Linked DNA regions of Arabidopsis thaliana. The protein of the gene in region 1 purifies or fractionates together with the protein of each later gene. This does not show direct contact. Each region holds a gene or a part of one and is shown on either strand. Other genes may lie near its edges. The genes, in order: MTO1 and AT5G15400.

Region 1 (14,403 bases):
TTAGGTTAGGAATAAAAGATTATCTAGCCATATTTTTCTTCCATTGGATCAAAAATATGAGTAACTATTTCTCTAAAGCCTTTACCTGGGTAGGATAAGATTTGAAATTTGGTAAAAACCGTCTTTGGCAGTAAATGCTGAAAAGGACCGTGAGAACCGGAAGGGGAATTGTTAAAGAAGATGCCACTGGAAGCTCTTTAAGCCCGAATAATCCGACTGCAATAATGTGCATTAGTACCAAAGAGAAGATAGTATAGCTGTGAACTATTGGCCAAAACTTTCCACCAGTTTCATACTTGGCCGCATATACGTTTAGGAGCTGCAGCACAAAAAGGTGATGTTATTTCTATCAACAAGTTGCAATGGATTCATTAAGAAGAAAAAGAATTATGTGACGAGAAAATGGATTCTTGATGTAACGTTTATGTCATGACTGAAGCTCCAAAAAATACTTTCGGTTTAAAGATGCTATTCGAGAATTTAGAAAAGGGATCACATATAAAGAGAAGATAAAAGTGAGATTCCATATAACGAAAATATGTGTAGCTGATTCCTATATGATTTTATCAGAGATCAACAGAGAATTATACTTAGGAGTGAGATTGGTTCCGTTACCTGGTTGCGGTAGATGATATATCCAAGACAATAGTAGACCAACAAGAAAGGCAGTATCAATGGCGAAAGGAAGAAGTAAGTTATACCGAGGAGTCCAAAAAATAGAATCCTTGGGATTTCTTGGCAGAAAGGAGTTGAAGGAACCTCAAATTCTTTGTCATCTTCCTTGCCGAAAAGTTTCGTTATGAAACTCCAAAGAAGAGGAACCAAACGGAGGATCTCTGATGATAAACCAGTCCATCCAGAGGTCACAACATAAGATACAAAGAACGATGCCTACACCAAAGATTAAACAATAAACATGACTCGTGGTACGAAAAGGGAATTCCGGAAACCTCAATACTGAATTTTGTGTTCTTTACCTGTGCTGGCACAGCTGCAGCAAGCACACGAGGAATAGTCTTAGGTTCAAGGAACACATTAACACGATAAAGGGCAGATCCGGACAGTACATTTGCAAAGAAACTGTTCCATACAGTAAAGATTAGAAGCTTGATACATGCAGATTTCTCAATCTGGCTATGAGAAATGAATCCTTGCATTGAGGAAAGTAGAAGCATAATGGGTGGTACTATAAGAAGGAAAAGCTGGAAAATGAGACTCGGAAGATATCCCGTAATCACTTGACTCACGATTTTCCTGCAATCATAAGAAAAAAAAGAAGATTTTGTAATTGTTCAATTGAAACGAAGAACCATCTTTATCTAAATAGGGCTTTACTTACATATTTAATATTCCTTTTAGAAAAGGGAACCAAGTCTCCAACTGGTGAAGATTAGCAAGACCTTGAACCAATACAACGGGGACAATGTATAGGATCAAAAGAGCTACGAAAGCCACAAGCACCACTACATTGGAGATCCATCTTCTCACAAACGATGCAGTGAAAAATGGCCAATGAACATCTTCGGGCTCCGGGGCTGCCTCAGTTAGCCATTGTGTTGGATCTATTCCTTGCTGAATGTTTGTTGCTATTGCAGCACCATGTCTTGTCCTAAAGGAAACAAAAGCAGCTGGAACTTCCTAAAAGGGTTTGCCAAAAAAAAAGGAATGAATATGTTGAAGAATGCAAGTAGTCACAAAAAGACAAATTCTCACCTCTCCTGCTAATAAAGACTGTTTCAATCTCATGTCATCTTCTAACTTATCAAGCTTCTTTTGGTAATGGTCAACCACATCAACATTATTCCCAAACATCCCTAGAAACCCACCCCACCTAGACTTTTGGCGAGATATGCTTCCGGATTTTACTCGTGTAAGCTTCTTGTACAGCTTCTCAGCATCATTCTGCAAATATTAACAGATATATGAAATCCAGAAATATCAAAAGGTAAGGCCTTATAGAATCCTTAGTAGGTAGAAGCTTACCATGAGAACTTTCAACTTGTCTGTCCGATGAACAACTATATGAGAAAGATACGAGGAAGAATGATATTCCCTGAAAAAGTTTTCTACTGTCTCACTAATACTGTTCCCGGATACAAGAGGGACGCCACTGACCAGAACTGTAAATTCTTGTGGCTGAGGCTTGGATGAATAAAGATGAGCAATCCGCTTTGTTAAAATGTACTTGTGCTCCTGCAAAGATAGTCCAAACATTATTTTATGTTCCCATATAGGCGATATAAAGTAGAATGGATGGACAAAACAAAAGGCGTCTTACATAGTAAAGTAGAGAACAAACAACCGCCGTGAAGATGTATATTGCGCAAAAGTGGATCCACAGCCTGAAGCAAAACACATACAAGCATAAGAGATCGGTTACGGACAAGTAGAAATCGGGATACTGTTTAAGCATAGCTTCGAGTTCTTTACTTATTTGATCCATCGTTAACATTAGAGATACTGAAGTTATCCATAGACTTCTTTGGGAGGTCGAAAAACTCTTCAAACTCTGTTCCCATATAATTCACTGGAAGAAGTATGAAGATCCCAACCACAGATGCAAAGCTAAACACTCTTATGCTGCCAAACAAAAAAGCATTGAAGTTTCACAAAAAAAAAGTCAAACTTGAAGCAGATGCTCAATGAATCAATCAACCTGAAGACAAAGACACGAATGAAGACCAAAGCATCTAAGCCAAGATTGGAGAGGATTTCATCATTGGTAGGTTCCAATGCTCTTTTGACCCAACCAGCAGTAGGCAAAAGCCTCTCGAGGTTGAACTCATTTGACTGCTGAGACTTGCCATCTTTTTTAACAAGACGTGGACCGTATACAGTGACATTACTAGGCTGCTTTCTCAATATTGAATACAAAGTGAAGAAGAGAAAACAGAGGCCAAGATTGATTCCCACTGAAGTTAAAAGTGCTGACAGAAGCATAACTCCAAATTCACTTAGACCAAGAGAAGCCTGCCAAGAATCTGCAAAATTTGGGAGCAACACGAAGAAGATATCAGATATGTGTAAATTGACACACAAAAAGGAAAGGAATTTACAATTGAGAAGAACATGGAGAGTACTATGGTGGTAAGGAACTGATAAACCCAGAATCAATCTGCACAACGTTTTCTGATCTGGATCAAATAAAAAGCAAGAGACGAATTTTCCAAAATACATACCAGGAGAAAAGATGAATCAGTCGAGGCGGTGATCTTTTGGTTTGAGCTCTCTCGCCATACGTAATAAGTCCTCGATGCGACACGATACCATTTTTCTCGATTTTTCCATTCCTTAAAAATAACCATCTTTTTTTTCATTGGGATTCAAAAACAACGAATCGTAAAATGTTGCTTACTGTTGGGTCCGGATCCGGAACTTTGGGTTGATTACCCGCTGGACAACACATGGATTTGACAAGCAAAAGTTAGTCTTGTCTTAATGTCAATTTAAAATTTAAAAGCAAATAAAGAAGATAATAATACAATTACGTTTTGGGCTCTCGTCTTTATCAGTGGACTTATTAAAAAGGCCCATTAATCATTCTCTCAAGACATGGATTTTGCTGAGATCTACAAATCGAAATCGAAATCGAACTACGTATTGAAAGGAAAGAAAACAAAAAAAGACGAGGCATTTATGAATGCCTTATATGTTGTTGAAACAAAGAGAAGAAGAAGCAGAAGCTAGAGGGTCATGACCATTGTTCGAAGCCGTGACCTTGAGGTTCCAAGCACAAGGAGTTCTTACCACAAAGCAATGGCCACAATGGTCGTTCACATGGGACCAGTTATCTAATTTAACCTCTTTAAGACGCAAAACGAACTAAACAGAATTTATTATATAGCACAACAAACATCATAATAGTACACGATTATTTCGGAACGTAAATGTCGCGGAACAATAGTTCAAAGACATCATTATTACGGTGACTGAAAACAGCAAAGAGAGATAAATAAAGGACAAAGAAACGACAGCGTTTTTGTGTGATGTGTCATTTTCAGATGGCTTCGAGAGCTTGAAGAATGTCAGCTTTGACATCTTCAAAGTCTTCAACTCCAAAGCTGAAACGAACCAAGTTATCTTTGATTCCATACTTTAGTCTCTCCTCTTGCGGCAGATCCCTGAAATCAAAACCACCCATTAGAAATCGGAAATTTGTTCGATTTTGTCAAAGACGGAAGCATATGGAATCAAAGATAACTTTGTTCGATTTTGCCAAAGACATACCAGTAGGACATGATAGCAGGTTGGTCAACAATGCTTTCGCAGCCACCGAAGGATGGTGCAATGTAAGGAATCTTTAGAGAATCCACAAACTTGATTGTCGTTTCAATGTCTCCATCAATCTACCCAAGAAAGATAATCAAGGTGTTCAGGATCATACTTAAATGCTAATCTGGAGTAGATAGAGATTAGGTTGGTGATAGATCATATTACCTCGAAACTGACCACACCTCCAAAACCAGTCATTTGTCGCTTGGCGAGTTCATGTTCGGGATGACTTGGAAGGCCTGGATAGTACACATGACTCACCTGCAAATCAAAATTGCATCGATATTTACTCACATGACTCACCTGGATAGTGTCAGGATATTTACTCAAAAAAGAGATATTGCATACCTTAGGATGTGCCTCTAAAATTTCGGCCATTCTAAAAGCGGTCGAATTCTGTTGCTGTACACGAAGATGCAATGTCTTCATGCCTCGGATGATTAGGTACGCAGCGTTCTGTTAACAAACCTTTTATGAGAATTCATGAATTAACAGCATAATAAGAGGGATAAATGAGACAGTCAAGTAATTTACTGGGTTAAGTGTTCCTCCCAACACATGATGCAGATTGCGAATTTCTGAAACCAACTTCAGTGAACCACAGATGCATCCAGCAAGAACCTAAACCACCGAGAAACAATCTTTGTTAATAACTAAACAACCAGTGAGTGCTCTTTTGAGATGTTTTACAATATATGGAACATGTTTTACTCACATCATTGTGTCCTCCAATGTACTTTGTAGCAGAGTGCACGACAAGATCAGCACCAAGAGCAAGGGCTTTCTGATTCAGAGGTGTTGCAAAGGTGCCATCAATGCAAACCAGAGTTCCCCTCTTGTGGCATATTTTTGAAACTAGCTCAATGTCGACACATCTAAGGAATGGGTTTGTCGGGGACTCAGTGAAGAACAGAGATACCTGCCAGACAAGTCGGAATAAATTTGAGACACATACTCTCTTTCCAACTGTAAAAAGGACAATAATGTTACAGAACTGACCTTGAACTCATTCACTGCAGCTTCAAGCCCTGCGATATCAGCAGGATCAATCACAGTGACCTGGACATAAACATGATGTTAAACAATCAAGTTGAAAAACTGGAATTGGAAAAAGGAAGACAGTAATTAAAAAATTTAGATGCAATGGAAATCTTCTTACAGTGATCCCCAACTTGGGAAGAAAATTCTCCATGAAGATCCTAGTCTTCCTGTAGCAATCAGTAGTAGTGACAATGTGTCCACCAGCAGGAACCAATGCCAAAAGCATAACAGTGCTTGCACACATCCCAGATGCCATAACCAAAGTTGATTCAGCCCCTTCAAGTGCACTACAGCAATATATTAATCAAACAAATCCAAAAGCATCAACAACATAATCTTCAGGAAAGGCAAGTGCAATTATAAAACACATTATTAAAGATAAAATAATAATAACCTTATCTTATCTTCAAGTACCACAGTCGTAGGGTTACCATAACGACCATACTCGAAACTCACACTCCTTTTCTCCTACAATAATTCAATTTTTTGAAGATAAACAAAGTCAATAAAACTAGTAAGAGATTCTTTCAACCTAATAGGTGTTATTCTAATCCATAAAAGAAAGAGACTGAATCAATCAACGGACCTTGAAGTCAATAAGCTCAGCAGTTTTCTTGAAGAAGTAGGCAGATGTGTTGACTACAGGAGTAGTGATAGCATCCGTCACTATACCACGGCCTAATCTTTCACCTGTGTAAAACCTAATTTATCAATCTCCAACAACAAAATCAGATATGAAATGACTGAATCTGGTGGATCTAGGAGGTACCGGCATGAACAGTGAGGCTCCCATCGGAGCTCAAGAAAGAATGTTTGGAATCCGTCAGCTGTACACTACCTATCTTCTCCCTGATCCCCTCCTCGGCCACCACAACCTCCTCATCGACGCTTTTCAGCACGACGGGAGGCGCGGCAGCCACAGGGGCGGCGGCGGCGGACGAGGCTGCGGCTGCAGATGCGGCGGAAGAAACCGCAGATGCAGACGAGGTAGCAGCAGCCGCCGCCGCCGAAGGTAACGCGGAGGATGGGTTGTTGGACCACTTAGCCGCCACGATCTGTGCAACACCGATGTTGCTACAGTTTCTACGGGCTTTAATGCTCAGCTGACGGACGAAATTAGGAGGAAATCTTAAGATCCTGGAGGATAATCCAGCGTCCCCGGTGAATGAGGAAGAAATCCCGGCGGAGGCATGGACACGACGGCGAGATGATCCACCGACGGGAGAACCGACGAGATCTGGATCAGAACGGCATTGAAAGCCGGAGATTGAGGAGGAGGAGAAGATGGTAGGGCACTGGAATGATGAGACGGCCATTGTTGTTTCGTTTCTCAATGATTCTCTCGTTCTCTTCTCTCTCTTTTTGTTTGTGGTTTAGAGGTGCGTGAGGGCTTTCTCCATGGGCGGGTTTTTAAGAAGCCAAATTGCTTTGTCGTTTTGTTTTTAACCACTCTGGTTTACATTAACTTGACCAGACTAAACCATGCCTTTTCCTCTTACTATTATTTTTCTAATTTTCTACGTTACAAAAATAGAATACGTTTATTGCCAGATTTCTACTTACTTATCCAAACAATGAGTTGTTGTTGAGTTTTCAATCCAAGTTCCAACTACTCATTATTGTTAAACATTCAATTTCATGTTGAAAATTAAAATTTGTACTTACAGATTAATCACCTGAGATATTTTGAACGTACAGATTTTTTACATGAAATTTATTTTATTTTTAAAAAGAGAACACATCATAAATTTACCAAATGTGGTGTTTTTTTGTTTTTGACTATGACCTCTTTTTTTTTTTTTTTTTAAGGTCTGTAGTCTTCAAATAGAATCTAGGCAACTACAACTACTCACAATTTGTTAAAGTTGCAGCTAATTTATACATTTAAAGTCAAAAAAATAGTTGTGAGTTTGAGACCTTCTCTATTTAAAACTCAAATGTAGCATGAAAACGAACGATCAAAATGTACTAATTAAATAATTGTTTTTTTAATTAATGAATTCAGTGTAAAAAGAAATTTCTAACAACTGGACCCGAAATATAAAATAAGGTCCACTTGTGTGATAATGGTCTGGGTCCAAACTTCAAAGTCTTTAAATAAACACACCATCACACTTCAAAAAGCTTTGTATTGATTTGTGTGGTGATGGATACTTTGTAATTAATTATGTCATGTAAGAAAAGTGAAAAAAAAACACGGTAACTTTTTTACAGGGTCATAAAATTACGGGAAAAATAGAAATAAATACAAACCGAATTGTATTAAGGGCATCTCCATCAGTGAGATACTTTCTTAGTTTCTAAAAAATAAAAGATATAAGTATTTTAATAAATATTAGTTATATAATTAAATTTTAACAATAAAATAATATTTGACAAATAGATGATATACAAGTGTTTTTATGGGTTTCTCAGAGTTTCTCACTTGAAAGACTAATTCTACTCTCTCTCATACTTTTTGATTATATTTTATTTTTATATTGAACAGTTTTTTAATGAGAAACCATTGATGGAGATGGTCTTAATAATCAGGAATCACTAAGAAAAAGATTCGAAAGAGGACAGATATACCTCAAACTCAAAAGGTGTATTCAGGGACCAAAAAAGGAAATGAAAAAGAAAACGTCAATCAGACAATCACTTTCGTAAGCCTGAGCTTAATTGTTGGCAATAACAAAAAGACCAAAGCCGAATGGCTTATCCGAGTCATCTAATAATATATAATTATTGATCTTATTACAAAACTGTTTTAATTTGTTTTTTTCTTAATGTTATTTACGAAAATGCCACTTTGTATTGGTGAACGTGCGTTTTGAGACCTGAGGGTAGGTCGCGTTGCTTTGAAATTCGATTATGGATTTGTAAGGATAGGTAATAGCACTAAAAATATACTATTCACTATAATTATGTGATTGATCAAAACAAACATAAATTAAAGATGCCGTAAGTTATTTCTTAATTGATATGAAAAAGAACTTGAATCTTAAGAACATTTTATGTTCTTTTTTGTTTTTGGTCGAAACAATATGTTATGTCCAAGCAATGACAACAAAAAAACATAGGATTTGAGGTTTTAACTCAGGATTTAGACTTATATAATATCCTCATTGTATAAAAATATTTATTTATTTTCTATTAATAGTAAAGATTATATTTTCTTTACCCTTTTAGTAATTTAAATCCAAAACTTATGTTAGTTAGTTATTATATATAGGGACTTAATATACCTCAAGTTGATGGTAGCCAATGGACCACAAAAACACTTCAAGTGGTATTTATATTTAAATGTTGAAAATCATACTAATTTATTCTTTAAGTTCTCATCCGTCCAATGAAGAAAGCACCAACACAATGAAATTAACCGATTACTGCGTGTCCCATGACTCCCATTAAAAGTATAATGATGAATATATTATATAGTATTGTATTATTGTAGTGTTCATGGTATGGTTTTGAATATTCTATGGATAGTGATTTTAAAGTTTCAAGATGGGAATATAAATGATGATTTGATTATTCAAACTAGACATAGAACGCCATATAGAGAAACTCTTCTCAAAATCTCAAAGAAGATACTCATCTTGTAACCTTTAATTTTGGGTGCAAACATTTAGGTTTCTACAATAAGTTCAAATAACTTAATAAATTGTAGAGAATGAAAGAGAACAGAAAAAGGCATTTAAGAATGCCTCTATTACGTGAGAAAGAGAGACAGCGAATGTGTGAGTGTGACCAATGTTCGAAGCCACGACCTTGTATAGCTCGAACACAACTTGTTCTTGCCACCAAGCAGTGACCACATTGGTCGTCCTGAATAGCCAACTGCTTACTTTTAACTCTGCGCCACGGCGGATATTTATTTATTTTAATTGAAAACAAAAAAAATTCTTTTTTTTTTTTTTTTTTTTTTATAAATTATTTATCTGGTTAAGATGATAAAAATATGGTGTTTATTGAATAGCAGGAAAGTACCAAAGAAGAACTCAGGTTTAAACCAAAACGGGTATACGATTGCTTTGTCAGACAGAAGATTTTGATTAAAAAAACAGAAAGATGGAAAAAATGTCACCGAGGGAGATATAGCTTAAGGAGGAAAAGAACTACATTTAGAGATAACAATCACTTGGCTTCATAATCTTATTGAGAAGGAGAAGAAGAGTTGGTTTAGTGATGAGCCTTTGCTTCGGCCTTAATCTGCGAATTCTTCTTTATCTGCATATGAAGAAGAAGCATTTGTTGGTATCATCATAACTTATTAGCAAATCACATCATAGTAGAAAATTAGATTCCACAATCTGAATGAATAAGGATTGGGATGCTCTAAAGGAAGCAACATAGGCTCTACTTTCATACCGATTTTCTTAGGGTTTGGAAACCAGACACAACATCGCAAACTTATGCTTTACAAAGGCAAGAAATTACATTTCAGTGATCAAGTTGCAAATCATTGACAAACTCTTCTACTAAACATCAAGTCAAAACTATGATCATTCAGTGGAATAGGAGATCAGAACTCAGGCAGAAACATTGGGGTCAAAGAATCATGTTACTTGTGTATAGATGACCAAACCAAAAGGAGCAAAGTAGCATACTAATAGTCACGGCACACATGATTCGATCGAGAATATCATAATTCAAAAGCCATAAACATTCGAATTTGCTGCTATAATGGCAAGTGTCAGATTTAGGATGTCAAAATGAAACCCAATGAAAATAATTTCTCATCTGATAAAAACAAGACAAGGAAGATAGAGAGATGTACCTTTAAAGCCTTGAGCTTGATGTTGCCGTAGATGAGACCCAACCCGAAAGCCGAAGCACGAGCAACCTAAATCGATACCAAAAAGAAAAGACTCGATGAACTCTTCAAAATCCAAAATTCGACAAGTCAAGGCTACAGATCGAGAAATTGATCCGGGGTTTACCAGAGCAAGAGTGCTGGTACCGGAGTAAAGTCCTGGAGGTGGCGCCATTGATTAGCAGTTGAGATTAAACCCTAAAACCCCCAAATCGATCGAATCTTCCGAAATCTCAGATTCGCGATAATGAAAGACCAGAGCGACTCCTTTGTCTCCGTCTTCTCAGAAAAGCAAATTATTGGGCTTTATATGGGCCTTTATTCAATAGTACCAAACGTCAGGCCCATATCCTTCTTACTATTACGCCCAAATTTGCATGCACATTAAGTAAACGATTAAGGATTTACTATCAAATTCGATGGATGTAATGTAACCTTTTGTTAAAAATGTCTTAAGTTTAGTGGACTCGAATCTATTAGTAATATCTGTGTTTTATTACTATGGATCATACTGTATATAAATAAATTTATGATAAAGAAAAGGACATGAAACAACCAAGCATTGAATTTTCTTTCTTTTACTCGACATGTCAACGTGTTGTTGTTATAATTACAGCCTCTTCGTTCAGACATCTCTCATATAGAAAAATTTGAAAATTAGACAAAAATACTCCACAACCGGTGGATAAGTAATATGAATATCTATTTCCTTCAATTGCTTGCACTCAGCAACTTTAAAGAATTATGGAGTGGTTCCAATCCTATATTTTGAAACATCTTATCAATATAAGATTAAGGAAAGCTCAACTTCTATAACTCAATAGTTAAAGCGCCTAATTATTCCCAAAATTAGTAATTTAAATTCGAACAAAGCAATGATACTAAAAAGGATCTTTGTGCCGATAGGCTTTTCAAGAAAGCTCATTCCCAAAACAAAAACGTATTAGGATTTGAAGGAGGATCCCTTATTATGGTTTATGTATTTGGCCAAATGACAACGACGTTATCACTTAAAATATTTTTCTAACAAACTGTATACCAACAACATAAAAGCATAATATATAAATTGTAAATTGGATTTGCAGGTTTGCTACATGCAATTCTGCAAAAACGAATACTAAAATTAAGCTCATTTTCATCCCATATATATATATATATATATATATATAATAGTTTATAAAGAAAATAAAGATAAGTAAAAAGTATTGGAAAGCTATCGACATTTAAAAAACAATCTGAGAATTAAAAATGTTTGGTTGAAGACCCTTAGATCAGAACATCGTCGCGGAATCGGACGGTGAAGAATCAACCAAGTTGAGAATGCTATTCCAGTAATTCTTGTTATCCTCATAGTAGTTATACTCACTCTCATTCCCCACGCCCGCCGTCGCTTCGTTTTTCCCGGTGGGTAAACCCCGGCCGACCGAATCACCGATCAATAGACTCGTGAATCCTTCTCCTATTCCTCCACTACCACAGTTGATCTGCCTAATCCAGTCGTGTTCATGTTCTTTGACCAGACTCACATCGGAGGAGGTTGACGAAGATACGGCCAATTCAATCATCGCCGAGGACTCATTGTTGTTATTGTTTCTATTTCTGCTGCTATCCGTAGGGATTCCTAAAGGCATCAGAAGATTCTCAGAGAATGTCACCGTCGATGTCGGAGATTCAAGCTGTTGGTCTCCGTTTCCTGTCACAATTTTCCATTGATACGTTACCAAAACCAATCAAAGTTGAGAGTTTTTTTTAAGACGATGTGTCCCTTACCTTGGTTTGGTTTAGTCCAGTTTGTTGATGTTTTTTGAGTGAAGCAATGTTGTTGAGGAGCTGCTGATTTGTTAAGGTTGTTATTGTTTTGGTAATGCTGTAAATGGAGAAGCTTTGATTCTCTAGCTAGCCTTGCTTCAGCTTCGAGTCTTGCACTCTCCCATTGAGCCATATGACTAAGCGTGGCTGCGTTCTTTGATTGTCCTGTGGAAGACGAAAGAGTCTCGTTTTTGTGCTTGTGAGTCACTGGATCTATCCCCATTTTGATCAGACGTTTCTTCAAGTGTGTGTTCCAGTAGTTCTTGATCTCGTTGTCTGTCCTCTTTGGTAAATGAGTTGCAATCGCTGACCACCTATGACATTTAAAGGACGACGATCAATTTGCTTTCAAAGCAATCACTTGGTTATTTGGTTTGAAAGCAGAGATTGTGATTGAGTCACCTGTTTCCGAGGAGAGCGTGGAGTTGAATGATGGTTTGTTCTTCTTGTACAGTGAATTTGCCTCTCTTGATGTCAGGTCTTAGGTAGTTAGTCCATCTGAGTCTGCAACTCTTTCCACACCTTTGGAGACCTATAAGGAGTTTGAAGCAAAGCTTTGAATAGAGCTAGAAGAAAATGTGTGGTTTTGTTGAAGAGAAAAGAGCGAGCAAGTTACCGGCTTTCTCAGGCAAAGAACGCCAGCTTCCATGGCCATGTTCTTCAATATAAGCCAAAAGTTTCTGATCCTCTTCTGGAGTCCAAGGCCCTTTCTTCAACCCGGCCTTATCACAACATGGCGATCTGCCCATTGTTTTCCCACACAAGTTATTAGTCTAATCTACTGAAGAAAAAGCTAGCTTCAATCTGATCCACGGTTTAATAACCTAGTGTATGAGATAGTTGTCATTACATGATCATGATCAGTATGATCACAAAAGCTGCTCTCTTGGCGTCACTCTGATATATAGATGGAGAAACACAACAGAAGATGTCTCTGTTTAGGTTCTGTAAGCGCCCCTTTTCCCGGTCTCTGACATGGATTGGCATTCAATTGGATGGGGTCGAGAGATATTATTACCTTTGTGGCTCCAACACCTTGATTTCCTTTTAAAGACTCAACAGAGCACCCAATTACTGTAGCCATCTTTACCTTGAAATTGTACCTCTCAACACAAAAGTAAAACAGTGAATTTCAGAACCTGGAGTAAATTTTAAGGTCAACATCTATCAATAGCTCTCACTTTGATAACCCTGCAACTTAGGATAATGTCATTGAGAAGAATGTTTTTCTCATTAGCCTTAAACAAACTTTGTGGTCCTTTAACAGTTTTGACATTTAAACCATTCTTGTTACTTTCCCGCATTTTTCTCGCGTCAAGGTTCGCTGTCGACAGTCCCCAAATGCACTAAACCCATTTAAGCTAGTTACAAGTTTTAAACACTTCTCACTAAAACTCAATTATCTTACACTAGGGTCTAAAAGATGCTCAAGGTTTCTTATTACAGGTATCCTATTGAGTGATGGTTTCTTGAAAGCTACAAAGTTCTTATTGTTTTGTCTTACTTACGGTCTTGCCTACAACTAGTTACCCTAATAAGTTACACTACTTTATGGAAACGTGTTTATTGATTTCTTCGTTTCACATTTTAGTTAGCTTTTTGTAGAAACTCCACAATAGTAAATGCTGTTAGATGGCGGTGAAGAAGTGGAAGCTGGCACTATAATGGGAAAAGCAAATCAGACACAGAGGATTAATGATATTTGGAGTAACTTAGAGCAAAAAGTCTTAATGATTCATAAACCCTGATTATAGAAGGAAAAAAAAGGGAAAATGCAAAGTAGTTGCAAGTAATTAATTGGTTGTCAATGATGTCATTAGCTTAGACTTGTTGTTTATTCAATTAGTCATTGCTCTGCAAATGGTATAATTCTCCCTGTGGAAGCAACAATAGTTTTATGGTAACACATTTTTACACTAATAGTCACTGTCTCTAAAGTATCAGAAAACTATGACCGCGGTAAACACTGAGTTTCAACCATTGTAAAAATTTGGAACCCTTATAAATGAAGAGAGGAAACACTAATGTGGTGGGAGCAAGAAGAAAGGAGGTGAAAAACCTTTCCTTGTCTGGTTCCTTTACCATTTAATGAAAGTCCCACTGGCTGCTCCACTGTTCTTGGTGTCAATTCATCACAAAATCTATTTTTTCACAAAGATAAACTAACATAGACAATGAATGATGAAAAGTATACAGAAACTTAACCATCAAAATAGCGACTTGATGAGGTAAAAACCACTATTTGGTTACCCTTTAACTAGTAGCATACCACAAAAGGTAAAATTTGACCATAATCAGAATTGTATAATTTGTTACTTACTGACCATTATGCAAAATTTTAGTGGCATACATGGTTTGGATAGTTTACAGGTGATCAAATGTTGTCGACAAAGGTAACTTTGGCTGCCAAGAAAGGTAGACGAGTAATGGCGGTGACGGTGACATTAAAGAGATTTTACCAGACCAAACAAAGAAAAGAGTAT
Region 2 (16,752 bases), on another chromosome or scaffold:
AACCAAAATAAATCGGTTTGAACTGAGTTTGGTATTTTACAATCCGAGAACCAAAAAACCGAATCGTTAACAAAAACTGAATATTCTTAAAAATATTTATGGGTGAAATACACAAGTTGTAGTTGGTTCCACATAAGCCTAAGATCATCTTTGCGTGTCGAACTCAAAAAAAAAAAAAAAAAAAATGTCGTGTTCAAATCTCCAAGCCAAGCCTGGTTAAAATCGGTATTTGATCGGTTTTCTATTTATTGATAATTGAGAGAGTCTATCGAAGGAATGTCGACCAACCAGATACAAATCAATGTCACGTTTTCTTTGCCATTTTGTGCAACTTTGGTCCCTACGGTTTTTCTTCTTCGCCTGCTTTCCAATTTGCATACATGGACACCAAAAAAAAAAAAAGGAAAAAAGAATTATTGCACATGGGATTTTTGTCTTTTTCATTATGTTCGATAAGTAAGTACATAAAATAATATTCCAAAATTTCGCTATTATTTTTTAAAAATGTTATGTATTTTATCATGCGTATACGTTCCTCTACAAATCCACCATTCGGAGTATTTTATATTTAGTCCTTGTTGATACATCAATTGGGCCTCAGTAATCAACCGGCCCATTTCAAGGAATAACGGCCCAGCAGGCCGAAGCCCGGCCTAGTCGGGATGTGAGTTCGGCTGCGTAGAAAAGGGGCATTCTCGGGAATTCGCCTTGCGTACCCTACTATACGGACGGGTATAAATAAGGAATAGAAAGTCTCGGGAAAAAGGGGACGTTTTTCGGGACCTGGAGAGAGGATAGCACAAGTCAGCTCGCCCAGATCATCCAGTTCGCCCAGAAGAGCCAGCTCATCGATAGAAGACAGCTCGTCGAGAGAAGTCGCCTCGTCAAGATCATCCAGCTCGCCCAGAAGAGTCAGCTCATCGATACAAGTCGGCTCGTCGAGAGAAGTCCGCTCATCGAAGATCATCCAGCTCGCCCAGAAGAGCCAGCTCACCAGAACCACCAGCTCGAAACAGCATCGCCTCGTAGCGCCCTCAACTATGCTCTCAGTTCGCAACAAGCCTTTCAGCCCGTCGATTGTCCGGCTTCAAGTTCAGCTCGTGGATTAGAGATTGATTCTTCACCTTCCCCAGAGACTCACCCGTACTTGTTTAATTCGTGCATTAACAGTCCTCTACTACATGCAATATTAGAATGAGTTTGAACAAAGTTATTCATCTACCATACCCATTTATTCATCTGCACTGTATCCTTAGTTATTTATTCCAATAAACGCTGAATTTTATCCAACCCAAAAATAAATAAATAGAAATTTGTGTTCGATGTGTGTGGTCCGCTGATATTGGTCGTCACTCGAATTATTAATGCATGATATGGATTTGTATGACTGTCAAATTTTTGGAAACTTCACTGTCAGGTACGTGTGTACTATATATGACCACAAAAGTGCATTTTATCATATATATTAGTAAACTAACTGTAGGTAATTTTTTTATTTTAAAAAGTGTAAGCAATAATGAAAATTGAAAAAATGAGAGTATTATGCTGCAAAAAAACATTATAGTAACTGGAGTATCTCTGTATCTGCAATCAACAAAGGCTTAATTACGAGATTAGGCTGGTCGTATGTCTCCGTTGTTATATCATAGGGATATGGCGTACGTCAACATGTATTCAATCCGTAATAAAAACACATATATAACAAGTATCAATTGACGGCAAACAAAATATAGTATATAACAAACATATATATCAATAATTGAGTCAAATACATCTATCAGTAAATGTTAATGACAACGACAAAAATCATTATCATGAAAATCTGTTATTTGTATAATTAATGAATGTTTGACAAAAAAAAGTATAATTAATGAATAATATCAAATGATAATATGCTTAAATCGTACATTCACTAAAATATCTTCTACTGTATTTATAGAGTTAGAATTATGACATCTTCCTATATAAAGCAAGTAAATTTGTAAACTTATCTAAAAGTTCAATGATTAAACGTAAAGAAATTACATTTAAAATGATGGGTCCATTTTAACGTAGCAATCCTCATGATCTGTACGGAATCCAATTTGTTCAATGTCTATTTGTGGGCCGTTTTGCTAAGCAAGCCACCACATCTCTCAGACACTTGACAGCTCATCATCTCCCCCTTGTCAATCCCGGTTCGGTTTCTGATTTAGTTCGATCTTCGATTTTAGTTATTAAACCGGAATCTCCCCTAACAAATAAACCGAATCCTACTAAGAGACGTACGTATCACACACAAATCTTGCGGCTTTGCCTCTCTATACAAATCACTCTTCTCTCTCCCAATCACTCCCTGCAAATTTTCTTCTCTCCCTCTCCCATGGTGGTTCCTCTATTTCAATCATGCCCTCTCACCCCAACTTCATCTTCAGGTTTTTATACCACACAATTCCCATTTTTTTTCATATCTATATTCGTTCATTAATGGTGCTTTCACGCTAAAACACTCCCGAATTCTGAATATGTATTTTGTGTCTTTTGCTGTTTACCCAGAGGTTACAAGCTTTACCTGAGATTGATTATTTTTCCCCGAGAAACACTTTTCCCGGAAAATTCACTCGTTTTTTGAACTGTTCTATAGCTAACAAGTCACCATGCAATTCCTTATAATCTCGCTTGAGTATGCGAAATCGTTCATCTAGCAACGAAATCGATTTTCATAATTGTGTACTATATAACGAATGTGAGATGATTCTGAATGATTTTTGGCGATAGATTGCTAATTCCTGATTACAATTTGAATATTTCAGGTGGATTGGACTGTTTTCCGATAAGTTCCGTCGACAAACGACTGGGATCGATGAAAACAGTAACCTCCAAATCAACGGTGGAGATTCGAGCAGCAGCGGCAGCGATGAGACGCCGGTGCTAAGCTCCGTCGAGTGTTACGCTTGCACACAAGTAGGCGTCCCAGCTTTCCATTCAACTAGCTGCGATCAAGCTCACGCGCCGGAGTGGCGTGCCTCCGCCGGCTCTTCTCTAGTTCCGATCCAGGAAGGATCTGTCCCTAACCCAGCCCGAACCAGATTCCGACGTCTCAAAGGTCCGTTTGGTGAAGTTCTCGATCCTAGGAGCAAGCGCGTGCAGAGATGGAACCGCGCGTTGCTTTTAGCTCGTGGGATGGCTTTAGCGGTGGATCCGCTCTTCTTCTACGCGCTTTCCATCGGCCGAACTACCGGACCGGCGTGTCTTTACATGGATGGTGCGTTCGCCGCGGTGGTCACGGTGCTCCGCACGTGTCTCGATGCTGTTCATCTTTGGCACGTGTGGCTTCAATTCAGACTGGCCTACGTCTCGAGAGAGTCGCTTGTCGTTGGTTGTGGGAAGCTCGTTTGGGATCCACGCGCCATCGCGTCTCACTACGCACGCTCTCTCACTGGCTTCTGGTTTGATGTTATCGTCATCCTCCCTGTCCCTCAGGTGAATTTTCAGAACAACCTTCCAACTATTCCAATATTATGAAATTAACCCTAAACTTTTTATTACTATCAATAAAGCCCATATTTACATTTGAAAGTGTTACCTGTTGATGAATCATGATTTGAGATGCAGATAAGATGTGAACTTTGTGTTTTTGCTTGTTTGCAGGCAGTGTTTTGGTTAGTTGTGCCGAAACTGATAAGAGAAGAGAAGGTTAAGCTGATAATGACGATTCTGCTGCTAATATTCTTGTTCCAGTTCCTCCCCAAGATTTATCACTGCATCTGTTTGATGAGAAGGATGCAGAAGGTCACTGGTTACATTTTTGGAACTATTTGGTGGGGTTTTGCTCTTAATCTCATCGCATATTTCATCGCTTCTCATGTAAGTCCTCTCAAGCTAGATATTGTATTTCTGCCTGAATATAATGTCCTGCAACAATAGGTTATATTCAGGTCCTAAAACAAATGCAATATAACAAATCCCATGTGTATATATATAGTACTACTAAGGTCTGTCCTAAGATATGAAATTAAAGTTTGTTGTTTATGGAAATTCTGGTGGTTTCAGGTTGCTGGGGGATGTTGGTATGTTCTCGCAATACAGCGTGTTGCTTCTTGCATAAGACAACAATGTATGAGAACCGGGAACTGCAATCTGAGTCTGGCTTGCAAAGAAGAGGTCTGTTACCAATTTGTGTCACCGACAAGCACAGTTGGATATCCATGCTTATCTGGAAACCTTACCAGTGTGGTCAATAAGCCTATGTGCTTAGACTCTAACGGACCATTCCGATATGGTATCTACCGTTGGGCACTTCCAGTCATCTCCAGCAACTCTCTTGCGGTTAAGATCCTTTACCCCATCTTCTGGGGCCTAATGACTCTCAGGTAATTGCTTTGTTTCTGAGCTTAAGGTTTACATCTTGGATATAAAAAAATTCTCTGATTGACATACTGAATCTGTTTTGGGGGTCGCGTTTTACAGCACATTTGCGAATGATCTTGAGCCCACAAGCAACTGGCTCGAGGTTATTTTCAGTATAGTTATGGTTCTAAGTGGCTTGTTACTTTTCACGCTGTTGATAGGAAACATTCAGGTAAACTATGCAAGAATATGTCTTTTCTATGATATTGTGTTTTCATGGAATGTAAGATTTTAAAAAGCTTTTTACTTTACAATATTTTGAAGGTGTTTTTGCATGCGGTAATGGCGAAAAAAAGGAAAATGCAGATACGGTGTAGGGATATGGAATGGTGGATGAAACGTAGGCAGTTACCTTCCCGGTTAAGACAGAGGGTTAGGCGATTTGAGCGGCAGAGATGGAATGCCTTGGGTGGTGAAGACGAGCTAGAACTTATACATGATTTGCCTCCGGGTCTTCGAAGAGATATCAAACGATATCTTTGCTTTGATCTCATTAACAAGGTACTAGGAAGCAGACTTTATACAATCTTGTTAAGACTTGTGAAAGCAGTAAGTGTTAAGTCTCTGACATGTTTGATCTTTCTCAGGTGCCATTGTTCAGGGGCATGGACGACTTGATCCTCGACAACATTTGCGATCGGGCTAAGCCTCGAGTCTTCTCTAAAGACGAAAAGGTACTCATCCCATCATTTCTAAAAATTTATATTTCCAATATTTTGCTTCGGTTTCGGTTTAAGAGTTTACTTGAAGAGTAAAATCTGAGGTTCTTCGATTTTGTTGATTGTCACAGATCATCCGTGAAGGAGATCCTGTACAGAGAATGATATTCATCATGCGTGGACGAGTCAAACGTATACAGAGCCTAAGCAAAGGCGTCCTAGCCACTAGTACACTAGAACCAGGCGGTTACTTGGGCGACGAGCTACTCTCATGGTGCCTACGTCGCCCGTTTCTGGACCGTCTTCCCCCTTCCTCAGCAACATTTGTCTGCCTAGAAAACATCGAGGCATTCTCCCTCGGATCCGAAGATCTTAGGTACATTACCGATCATTTCCGTTATAAATTCGCGAACGAGCGGCTTAAGCGGACCGCAAGATACTATTCCTCAAACTGGAGGACGTGGGCAGCGGTAAATATTCAGATGGCGTGGCGCCGGCGTAGGAAAAGAACCCGTGGTGAAAACATCGGCGGTTCGATGAGTCCTGTGTCGGAGAATAGCATTGAAGGTAACAGTGAACGCCGGTTACTTCAGTATGCAGCTATGTTCATGTCCATTCGACCGCATGATCATCTCGAATAATAATAAAAAGTTCCAATTTTATATCGGTCCAAATAATTGTGTGTTCATTGTTCCTCCTCAATTGTTTACCTTTACTTCTTTAAAAAATCTTTCTTGGAATGATACTTCAACCTCTTACGGTTAAGTTCAAAGTAGATTTTTTGAGCAACAAAATCTTGGAGGAGTTTATCTTGGTAATTTTTTATTTTTTATTTTTTATTAGCAGTAAAAGTAATTGTCTTAATAAGTATAAACGACGTCGTTAGTAAGTACGACGTTTGCATATATCCTATATAGACTTTTTGTCCAAGCTCAGGACTTGCTAAAGCTCGTTCAGAGACTCCAAAAGAGTTCATAAACAAAAACCTACTCCCAGAAAGTTCTTCCAAATCTCTCGCCATGGTTTCTCTCTTCTTTCGTGAATTTTAGTTTTTCTAAATTTAATTATACTTTAAATTGCTAAGTCCAAACTCTTTCGCTTTTGATTCATCGGTAATACAAGTTTAAGAAAAAAAATTCTTATATTTATCTCTCAAATCGAGTTTCGAGTGTTTGATTTGATTCGTAAAATCAATGGCGACGAGCAAACCTCAAAGATCGCCGGCTGAAATTGAGGATATAATCCTCCGGAAGATATTTTATGTAACCCTAACGGAATCAACTGATTCCGATCCTCGTATTGTTTACTTGGAGATGACGGCCGCTGAGATTCTCAGCGAAGGTAAAGAGCTTTTGCTTTCTCGTGATTTGATGGAGAGAGTTCTCATAGATCGTCTCTCCGGCGACTTTTCCGACGCCGAACCGCCTTTCCCGTATTTAATCGGTTGCCACCGTCGTGCTTACGACGAATCGAAGAAAATCCAGTCGATGAAGGATAAGAATCTGAGATCGGAGATGGAGATTGTCACTAAACAAGCGAAGAAGCTTGCTGTTTCTTACTGTAGGATTCACTTGGGGAATCCTGACATGTTTGGGAACTCGGATAAACCTAGTGGTGGATTGGATAATAGGTTGAAGAAGAGGAATGTCTCTCCGGTTCTTCCGTTGATCTTTGCTGAGGTTGGTTCTGGTTCGTTGGATATGTTTGGAGCTAGTAGCAGTGGGGTTCAAGCTCCTCCTGGGTTTTTGGATGAGTTTTTCAAAGACTCGGATTTTGATAGCTTGGACTCGATTCTAAAGGAGCTGTATGAGGATTTGAGGTCTACGGTTATAAATGTATCAGTGCTTGGAGATTTCCAGCCACCACTGAGGGCACTCAAGTATCTTGTTAGCTTACCAGTAGGAGCTAAATCTCTGGTTAGTCATGAGTGGTGGGTTCCACGGGGTGCCTATATGAACGGCCGAGCAATGGAGTTGACTAGCATTCTTGGGCCTTTCTTCCATATTAGTGCGCTGCCAGATAATACACTATTCAAGAGTCAACCTGATGTTGGGTGAGTTCCAACTTATTTATGGGTTTCTATTACTGAGAATCATGTAGTCTTTGGGGCTCTTTTCTTATTGAGAAAGTTTGGATAGTAAGAATTATTGATTAGCTTTTACTCATAGTAGAGAGACTTGATCAAAAAAGGAAAAAAGCAGATATATTTGGCTTATATATGATGCCACTGTTAGGTTGTATACATATTTTAAGCATGATTATATAAATTTAGCATAGTTAGATGATCAGTAGAGGCGAAACCAACAGAAATATTAGTAAGCACTATGTTAAGTTAGAATATTGTGGATGAAATCCATTATTTTGAGCATTTTTTCTGGTCTGTACTGAAGAATCTTGATTGTCCATTTAGTATTTGACAAGGCTTAATTGTGCGAACATAAGAGTTTTCCTGATCCACCTCAGAGGATATACTTTACCTGTTATGAAAATGCTGATATATGTCTATTGTTTTTGTGAATATCAGGCAGCAGTGTTTCTCTGAAGCATCGGAACGTCGTCCCGCAGATTTATTATCATCCTTCTCCACGATTAAAAATTTCATGAACATTTTGTACAGCGGGCTGCATGATGTATTGATGATTTTACTTAAAAGTACTGATACCCGTGAGCGTGTTCTACAGTTTCTTGCAGAGGTGATCAATGCAAATGCGTCTAGAGCCCATATACAGGTAATCATCCGTTTATAAGATGCATATATACTTCGGATCTTTATTCATGAATTGCTATTGTCTCCTCTCGGTTTTATCAAGTTGGTATTTGTCTTTTTTGCTCAAATCAGCATTCTGTAATATGTTTATCTTGTATGACAGGTTGATCCAGTCTCTTGTGCTAGCTCAGGCATGTTTGTTAACCTTAGTGCAGTAATGCTCCGGCTCTGTGAACCATTTTTAGACCCACATTTAACGAAAAGGGATAAGATTGATCCAAAATACGCATTCTGTGGCCATCGCTTAAAATTAAGGTATGGTCCTCAAGATGATTCTACTTGTATTTCCTCACTGATTTTAATAGTTTCATGATGAGCAATATTATTTATGATCCACACCAGCGACTTGACCGCTCTCCATGCATCATCCGAAGAAGTTACTGAGTGGATTGGCAAAGATGCTATGGCAAACGCAAATGATGCTGGGCGAGAAAATGGGAACGAAAGTCGCTTGTTACAATCCAAAGAAGCCACAAGTTCTAGTAGTAATGCTTCTGGGCAAAATGCAAAGTCAGCAACTAAATACACTTTCATTTGTGAATGCTTCTTTATGACTGCTAGGGTCCTCAATTTGGGTCTCCTAAAAGCACTCTCTGACTTTAAACATCTTGCTCAGGTAATCATCATCACAGTTTTCCCGTCCTGGAAATATTGAAGATTTTTTGGAAAAAAAAACGACTTGTGATAAATTATCTTGCAGAAAGCTCTTATTTGATTTGGTTCCTTACATATTGTCTTATTAAGGCGTTTGTTAGTTAAAACGAGAAGGGACTATAGCAAAAACTTGAACTTAGTCACATGTTTACATTGTGAAAGTGTCATTGATTCCTGAATTTGCAGAAGATTGTTATTGTATGGTTCTTCACTTTTTCTTTTCCGCATGACGTAGGACATCTCGAGAGGTGAAGATAATCTTGCAACGCTAAAAGCCATGAGAGATCAAGCACCTTCTCCACAGTTGGAACTTGATATATCCCGAATGGAAAAAGAACTAGAGCTGTCTTCGCAGGAAAAGCTTTGCCATGAGGCCCAAATATTGAGGGTTTGTAATCATATTCTCTGCTCTGATAACATCTTCGGCTTTTCCTCTGGACCGGTAACATGATAGTAATAGCTGCCTTATCTCTATACTGTATTGAAGGATGGAGATTTTATTCAGCGAGCTCTGTCTTTCTATCGCCTAATGGTTGTTTGGTTAGTTGGACTAGTCGGTGGCTTTAAGATGCCTCTACCGTCAACTTGCCCTATGGAATTCTCCTGTATGCCTGAGCATTTTGTTGAAGATGCAATGGAGTTGCTGATATTCGCTTCAAGAATTCCCAAAGCTTTGGACGGGGTGCCGCTGGTATGCTTAGTTTGCTCTCATCAGTCTGTAGAAATTCTCTTTTTGTATTTGCACTGATGATGGTTGTTCTCTTTTCTTAAGGACGACTTTATGAACTTCATAATTATGTTCATGGCAAGTCCTGAATATGTTAGAAACCCGTATCTCAGAGCAAAGATGGTTGAAGTTCTGAACTGCTGGATGCCTCGTTCAAGGTGTTTTTCTTCCCATGAAAGAAAGCTGTACATTTGTCAATTTGTGTTGCTAATGCAACAAGTTCTGCAGTAACGTGGTCCACCATTCTAATTTTTTTTTTTTCCTGCAGTAGTTCTTCTTCTGCTACATCTACTCTCTTTGAGGGACATCAGTTATCGCTCGAGTATCTTGTCAGGAATTTACTGAAACTATATGTTGACATTGAGTTCACGGGTTCACACACTCAGGTGATTGCAAGAGATTTTGTTTAGTGGCTATAATATTCCTGGAGTAATGAACTTCTCTCTATTGCATTGTACTTGAGAATATGTTAGCTCTGGAAGCCAGAATAGCCATTTGTTCTTGCTTTTATTGGAACTGAAATCTAGTTATCCAAATGCAGTTCTATGACAAGTTCAATATTCGCCACAACATTGCCGAGCTTTTAGAGTATCTCTGGCAGGTGCCTAGTCACCGAAATGCATGGAGACGGGTAAATTCTTAGTGAGCTTGCCATGACTTTGAACTTCAACTATCATGTTCCAATGTTTTTCCAAATTTGATGTGTTACAGATTGCAAAAGACGAAGAGAAGGGCGTGTACTTGAACTTCTTAAACTTCTTAGTCAATGATAGCATCTATCTTCTGGATGAAAGTCTAAACAAAATTCTCGAGATTAAACAAATCGAGGCAGACATGTCAAATACTGCAGAGTGGGAGCAGAGACCAACTCAAGAGAGACAGGAGAGAACAAGACTCTTCCATTCGCAGGAGAATGTTAGTTGGATTATCACTTCTTATATCTTGTTTCGTACTCGAATCCCGATCCCATAAAGAACTTTGATTTTCTTTGCAGATTGTTAGAATCGACATGAAGCTGGCAAATGAAGATGTGACTATGCTTGCATTTACATCCGAGGAGATCACTGCCCCTTTCCTACTCCCTGAGATGGTACCTGACCATATTCCTGAAATGATAACCTGCCCTATGATTACCCAACTGATGAGTTTCTTTGTTTGTTTGCACTTATTTAGGTTGAGAGGGTTGCCAACATGCTTAACTACTTCTTGCTACAACTCGTGGGTCCACAGCGTAAATCTTTAAGCCTGAAAGATCCTGAGAAATATGAATTCCGTCCAAAACAGTTACTTAAACAGGTTAGTAGTGATTACAATTACTCAATTCTCCTGATCAAAGTATGTGAGAAAAAACTGACTGATATGATTGTGAACTTTGAAGATCGTTCGCATATATGTTAATCTCGCAAGAGGAGACACAGTAAACATATTCCCTGGTGCCATCTCCAGTGATGGCCGATCATATAATGAACAGGTCAGATCCTTCTTTCTAAACCAAATCCTCTTTCATAATAATAGATGCGTCTCTACTGAACTAAACAAGTGCCCGTTTTTGCAGCTATTCAATGCAGGAGCAGATGTGCTTAGGAGAATAGGTGAAGAGGGAAGAATCATTCAAGAGTTTATGGAGTTAGGCACAAAAGCCAAAGCTGCTGCTTCTGAAGCTCTGGATGCTGAAGCTGCACTTGGGGAAATACCAGACGAGTTCCTTGACCCAATTCAGGTCTTTATCTGTTGAAAGAAACACTAATTTAAACCTAAATCTTGTCTTATTACCATGCACTAATGTCTGTTCTTGTTTTTTTCTTTTCCTTTTCTTTTTTGGCAGTACACGCTAATGAGAGATCCAGTAATACTTCCAAGCTCAAGAATCACAGTTGATCGTCCCATCATTCAACGTCATCTTCTCAGCGACAATGTAAGCTTATCTAACACAATGATGATCACTGATCAGTCACATCTCTCTTTCTCTGAAGATTTTGGCTTTGTATATGATCCTCTTACTTTTGCTGCAGCATGATCCATTTAACCGAGCACATTTGACATCGGATATGTTGATACCGGACATCGAGTTGAAGGCGAAAATCGATGAGTTTGTGAAGTCGCATCAGTCTAAGAAACGGACAAGTGGAGAAGATAGCAGCAACAAGGAAAGGATACAGACTACAAACAGTGATATGTTAATTGATTAATTATGTGTTCCAAAAGTAACAAAATAATAACAATTATTCAGGACTTTTTTTTTTTACTTTTGCTAGGCTTTCTTTTCTATTAGGATTTATCTATCTATTTTAGGGCTTGCTTTCCACTTATTTGATGCCACGGGAAAAAAACTTATAAATATCATGTCTAGAACTGTTTCTATCATAAGTTCGATGTGTTCACGAGTTTCTATGCATTTCGACGTTTGTTCATGGATTACTAGTTGGCATAAGAGTTATGAGTGACCAATTCTTGAAAGGCGAAATTTCTAACTTAATCTTTGATGGCGTGAGGTCGATGCAGAAGAATGGTGAAATCAACACCACTCACTCGATTGAAAAGGCAATACGTTCGACAGAAGGATGTCTTTTATAGAATTTAAGAGTTGTACATGAAGCAAGCGTCGTACCAAAAAAAGAGTTCGAAAGAGTTTTTATAGGCGTCATTCGAAGCCTATAACACGCAAAACAGCGAGAGAATAAGACAACGGTTTCAAAATTAGGAGGAGGTAGAGTGTTGTTGTTTACGTTTAGCGAACTCGTAAGCAATGCAAATTGAGCTTCTACTGTGACGAAGTGAGAACTCAGCCATCAATATCTCTTTCTCTGCTTCCGACAGATCTCCATGGCTTCCCTGTTTCAAACCCATAAAATGTAATTAAAGCATAAACTGAACTGGAAACTAACGTAAATGATTGTCTAGCTGTGTCAATAGGTTTACCAGACGAGTGGTTCTATCAGAGACTGCGTGGTGCATCAGAATCCCTGCAGCCACTGAGACATTAAACGAATCAACCATTCCATTCATCGGAATACTGCAACGCAGATCTGATAACTCCAACGCTTCGTCACTTATTCCCCTGCATATTCCCCAATCAATCCATTAAGAAATTATGAACCCTCAAATTTGGACTAAGAGATGATATTCATTACCTGCCCTCGTTTCCAACAACTATTGCTGTTGGGCATGACCAGTCCATATCGTAAATGGAAACCTATAAGATATTACCACCAAGAGAATGTCATTCATTTTGCCTCATAAATAATGGTGATGACAAATATATACAAACAAATCTTTAGAGGTTTACCGTGTCCATTCCCAAATGAGTTGTAGCTATTCTGTAACCGCGAGACTTCAAAACTTTGAAACATTCTTTAGGTGTGTCCCAAAACTCAATGTCCAGCCATTTCTCAGCTCCCATACTCACATGGCGATTTCCGTTATACCTACACATATATAATATACATTAACACACACATAGCACGGTAAATGAATTCACACAATGCAATCAAACCTTTTTTACATTTCAGTCAACAACTAATGGATCAATCTTTTCAGATATTACCTATGACTCTTGTATCACTGCATAGTTCAAAAAACCGTAACAATTCTCCATTCTATCTCGTATGAACTAAGAAAAAGGAAAGCCAACTTATGATCAATCTTGGACTCAGAAGGAAAATGTAATAGTAGTGACTCACAATCAGCGTAGATTCAATGTTTTACGGAAATTTAAGAGTCCTCACTTATCCCCATCCTGTGATCCAAGAAACATAACTACCAACTCATGATCTATCTTGGTAGCTTATGATGCAATCAAAAGTTCTACAGACTTCAATCACCAGCTTATGATCTCAGGTCACCGCACATTGTCTAAATTCAAAATGCAAGAATCCCTAGTTTCACCTCAAATCCTATGAATCAACAAAGAAACAGAAAATGCCAACCTCAAAGGGGCACCTTTTGGAGCTGTCACAGGAAACAACATGTACAGATTGAATCCCCAACGCATCAGCTGAGCGGAAAGCAGCAGAGATGTTTCCAAAATCAGAGAGACCTTCAACCACAAGACACACCGAGTAGCTTCGATTCTCCACCACACGCCTGAACCTATCTGTCCTCTCTTCCATCATATGAGGACTCACCGCCTCCAACACCTCACGGCTACTAAGATGCACCTCACCACACCTGAACCTATCCTCGTAAGGAAACCAAGATCCTCTACAATCACCCTCACCATTGCTTAAGCTACACCTCCGCTCCATCTTCATCAAGCTTGAGGCCTCACCACGATTGGTTGTTAACAATCCTTTCACAGTATCCTTGGGAGACTCTTCCGTTAAGCTCTCCGGTGAAAGAGCCACAGCTCCATGAAATGTGCGTCGAGCTGTTACAATACCTGTTAGGCGCGAAATCTCATCAACATCAAAATCAAACGAATCCAGATAACGAAATTCAAAATAAAAGCTTGAAACTTCAGACGAAAGAGTGAGAGAGAGTACATGATGAATTTGGATGAAGGACAGAGAGAGGAGAAAAGGCGCGAACGGAGATGAAGGTGATAGAGAAATTAGGGTTTGGAAGAGGAACAAATGGAAAGGAAGAGATTGAGGCACGGATAAGGGATTTGCACGAGTTCATGTGTTGCTGCTGCTGCTAGCTACTGTTTTGTTTATTGCACAGTCTCGGAGCTTGAGATTAAGGATTCGCTGGATTCACCTTCAAGAAATCGAAAATGGATACTCCACAGAGCAGAGACACAGTCCAAGGCTCTGGTTTCGATTTCCCGACCACAGACAGAGCTTGTCTCTTGTCGTCGTCTCGAACCCAAGAACAAAAAGTCGAAATAATTTCGGTTTAGTATGGTTCGATCTAAATTACAAAACAAAAAATGATGTGATGGTTTCGGTTTAATATGGTTCGATTTGGTTTAATAGTTTGCTTCTACTGGAGAGAAACTTATCGAAAATATTCTTGCAGAGGAAGAAACTTAGTTACACGACTTGCCAAACTAAAATCTGAAAATATTCTTGCAAGGATTAGTATATCTAGCTAGCAGAAAGGAACAACAAGAATCTGCAAAATACAAGTTCGATTCATGTGAAAAAGTGCCTTACAAAACAGAACAACTTGGGTCTTCAAATCCTTCATCTCCTCATATGTCGTGCTTTGCGACGAACAGCCTCGAGAATCCTACAATAGTCGAAGAAGAGTGACGAGTGCTCTCCTCCAAGACCGACCCGATGATGGCGATTGCCTCCGGCAAGATTGTTACACGGACTTCCTCCTATGACTAAGTCGAATCCTCCGTACTCGTCCATAAGCCGCTCAATCGTATTGTCGTCTAGCTTTTGAACATCTTTAAACTCTCTCAGGATACCCTTTTGATTCGTCTGCTCCCAAAAGCTTCTCAATATGTTTCTGTTCGCATCTGAAATCTCCACAGACACAACAACATTCATCTTAATTTGGAGTCGATGGAGTGCAACTTCTCCACCACCAATGCCCGTGAAGAGTGACAGGACGTTGATTCCATTTGGGAACAGAGGCTTAAGCACAGACAAGTGATAAGCAACTGTATCAACCTTGCATATAAAAACACAACTGAGTTTAGAACCCCAAACACCTTTCAAACCAAAAGCTGAACTGATATAAGTAACATACCTGAAACGAGTTCCCTAAAGACTTGTAGCGATCAGTTGTGCTGATACCTCCTCCTCGAGTATGATCTCTCGGGAAGCCTAAAAGCTTTTCCATCTCATCTGCGTCCAGCGGGGCAAGCTTGTTTTTACCTACCCAAACCAAATTCCACTTTTTGCATTCATACATAACCCATTTTTGAACATCTAGAGGTGTCTCTCCATCATATCTCTCAAGAGCTTCGCGTATTTTTTCTGTGAGTCTAGAACTGGCAATACAAGTCAACAGACAATTCAACTTCGTTCTCCCATCCCAACTAGGCCACCATCGCTTGGTCAATGGAAAGGCTTCTTGGATGGTATTGTGTTGTGGAGGTTGAATCTGAAACCTATTCTGGATTGGCAGATTATGGATATACCCCCTCTTTCTTGCAGCGGCACAAAAATGCTTTGAATCCACGAATTCAGGAACGATGTCGTACAAGTGGCTGGAGATCTTGGCCCAAACACCTTTTGGTGTCATAGCAACGTTCTCATAGTAAAAGAAGGGCGGGCCACGAGCAATATCCGGAATTGGGACTGGTCTGTGCATCATAAGTCCGGGATGATTAGGGACACCAAACCCAATCATCTCTTTTGGTAGAGAGATGAGCTGGTCCGTGTTCGGCTTTCTTGGTGTCTCAGTGTATGTTCGCCTTTTTTTGTTGTTATTCATAAGCTGCACCAGTCAAAAAGTCAAGGTTCAGTGCGTTTTTGGTAAGTTCTTCTATTTAGCCACACACAGTAACAAAACACAAATGAAGTCTACCAAGAACAAGAGCAGCATACTGAAGTAAAAACATGTTAAGTGACATGATAGATACAATAGTCTGACAGAAAGGCTGAATCCCAATCAACACAGGCAAAAAACATTTAAAGAGGCTTGAGGAAGAATTGTATAAATGCAAAGATGATTAGAAACAGAACAGTATTAGTAACATCAGTAAGTTAGTGAAACACCGAGTAGAACTACGACAAGAAATCAAAGTGCCATCTTAAACCAAAGCATCTCTAGTCCAATCAAAAACAGAAACGGTCAATAATAGGTAAGACCAATGAAATCCAGAGACATGTATATCATCCATCATCAATCAGACTGACCAAGGTAAAAAGATGGCAAAGATCACAAATTCACAATCCAAAGAGCTTTTCTAATTTGAAAACTATAGTTAATAGCTACAAGCCTACAACAATCCAAATAATGCATCTGGCACAGAACAATGGAATGGATTACGAAATCAAAAATTGAAGTTCTGAATAAAGTTAACAACATACAGGTTACAGGAAAACCCTAGAGGTCTGGATAGACTAAATCCTTCAAACATATGAGCAAAAAACTAATTCTCATCGATTGATCACAGCCCTACTTAATCCAAGTATATGACGAAGTTAATCAATAACACAATTTTAAAGTAGACAACCGGAGCCGTCTCATCAAACTGACAAGAATTGCAGAAGGATAATTCAATAATAAATTTGATGGGTGTCTTAGGTTCTACAAGAGACTTAGAGTTATTACCTCTTTCTTGTCAGGTTCTGCATAAATCTCATCGAACTGCCGTGCCATCTGAGCTGCACAAATGAAGTCTACCACCTCTTCCATACTTGCATCTTCTCCTGAAACGTTTGAGAAGAAACATGAATACTTTGCAAGGACGCTAGCTAATTGGATCTATGCGAGAGGAATGCATGTAAACTTCTTGCAGATTTAAACAGAAAGATAAGAGATATATTATCTTCATGTAAACGTTTTACCACATCTCTCTATAGCTATAGCAGCATCTTCCCTCAAATAGCCCATTTTGATCAACGCTTGCAAGATTCTATCTTCATTGGAGGAGTTGTTTAGTTCATCCTGTCATTTCCAAAACAGATAAGAATACAACGTACACAACCTAC

Evidence for each region.
Region 2: the proteins of MTO1 (region 1) and AT5G15400 fractionate together in Arabidopsis thaliana (co-fractionation; one large-scale study listed by BioGRID). This does not show direct contact.

The regions. Positions count from the first base shown.
Region 1 is NC_003074.8:35,237-49,639, forward strand, and holds MTO1 (Pyridoxal phosphate (PLP)-dependent transferases superfamily protein), read right to left. Parts: upstream 6,924-14,403; 5' UTR 6,630-6,923; coding exon 6,083-6,629; intron 6,004-6,082; coding exon 5,900-6,003; intron 5,782-5,899; coding exon 5,708-5,781; intron 5,601-5,707; coding exon 5,432-5,600; intron 5,332-5,431; coding exon 5,272-5,331; intron 5,192-5,271; coding exon 4,988-5,191; intron 4,894-4,987; coding exon 4,807-4,893; intron 4,729-4,806; coding exon 4,621-4,728; intron 4,534-4,620; coding exon 4,438-4,533; intron 4,347-4,437; coding exon 4,228-4,346; intron 4,122-4,227; coding exon 3,998-4,121; 3' UTR 3,523-3,997; downstream 1-3,522. Other genes in the region: HYP1 (hypothetical protein 1), read right to left, coding at 86-319, 616-891, 978-1,254, 1,340-1,638, 1,714-1,902, 1,984-2,193, 2,279-2,342, 2,431-2,580 and 2 more; AT3G01130 (ATP synthase E chain), read right to left, coding at 9,998-10,141, 10,239-10,286; MYB106 (myb domain protein 106), read right to left, coding at 11,383-11,804, 11,882-12,234, 12,323-12,452, 12,537-12,661, 12,771-12,907. UniProt on the Arabidopsis thaliana protein: Catalyzes the first committed step of methionine (Met) biosynthesis. Catalyzes the formation of L-cystathionine from homoserine esters and L-cysteine, via a gamma-replacement reaction.
Region 2 is NC_003076.8:4,992,397-5,009,148, reverse strand, and holds AT5G15400 (U-box domain-containing protein), read left to right. Parts: upstream 1-5,895; 5' UTR 5,896-6,241; coding exon 6,242-7,101; intron 7,102-7,572; coding exon 7,573-7,777; intron 7,778-7,918; coding exon 7,919-8,070; intron 8,071-8,157; coding exon 8,158-8,431; intron 8,432-8,704; coding exon 8,705-8,857; intron 8,858-8,956; coding exon 8,957-9,160; intron 9,161-9,241; coding exon 9,242-9,354; intron 9,355-9,464; coding exon 9,465-9,582; intron 9,583-9,737; coding exon 9,738-9,827; intron 9,828-9,907; coding exon 9,908-10,111; intron 10,112-10,190; coding exon 10,191-10,286; intron 10,287-10,369; coding exon 10,370-10,492; intron 10,493-10,574; coding exon 10,575-10,667; intron 10,668-10,751; coding exon 10,752-10,916; intron 10,917-11,021; coding exon 11,022-11,111; intron 11,112-11,208; coding exon 11,209-11,385; 3' UTR 11,386-11,660; downstream 11,661-16,752. Other genes in the region: AT5G15420 (uncharacterized protein), read left to right, coding at 185-215, 750-1,198; DND1 (Cyclic nucleotide-regulated ion channel family protein), read left to right, coding at 2,386-2,414, 2,793-3,462, 3,631-3,846, 4,033-4,352, 4,450-4,561, 4,654-4,890, 4,977-5,063, 5,180-5,689; AT5G15390 (tRNA/rRNA methyltransferase (SpoU) family protein), read right to left, coding at 11,894-12,028, 12,116-12,254, 12,328-12,389, 12,483-12,621, 13,136-13,574, 13,678-13,816; DRM1 (domains rearranged methylase 1), read right to left, coding at 14,323-14,760, 14,840-15,532, 16,373-16,470, 16,609-16,708. UniProt on the Arabidopsis thaliana protein: Ubiquitin-protein ligase that may function as an E3 ligase in conjunction with specific E1 and E2 ligases. May also function as an E4 ligase mediating the assembly of polyubiquitin chain assembly on substrates monoubiquitinated by another E3 ubiquitin ligase.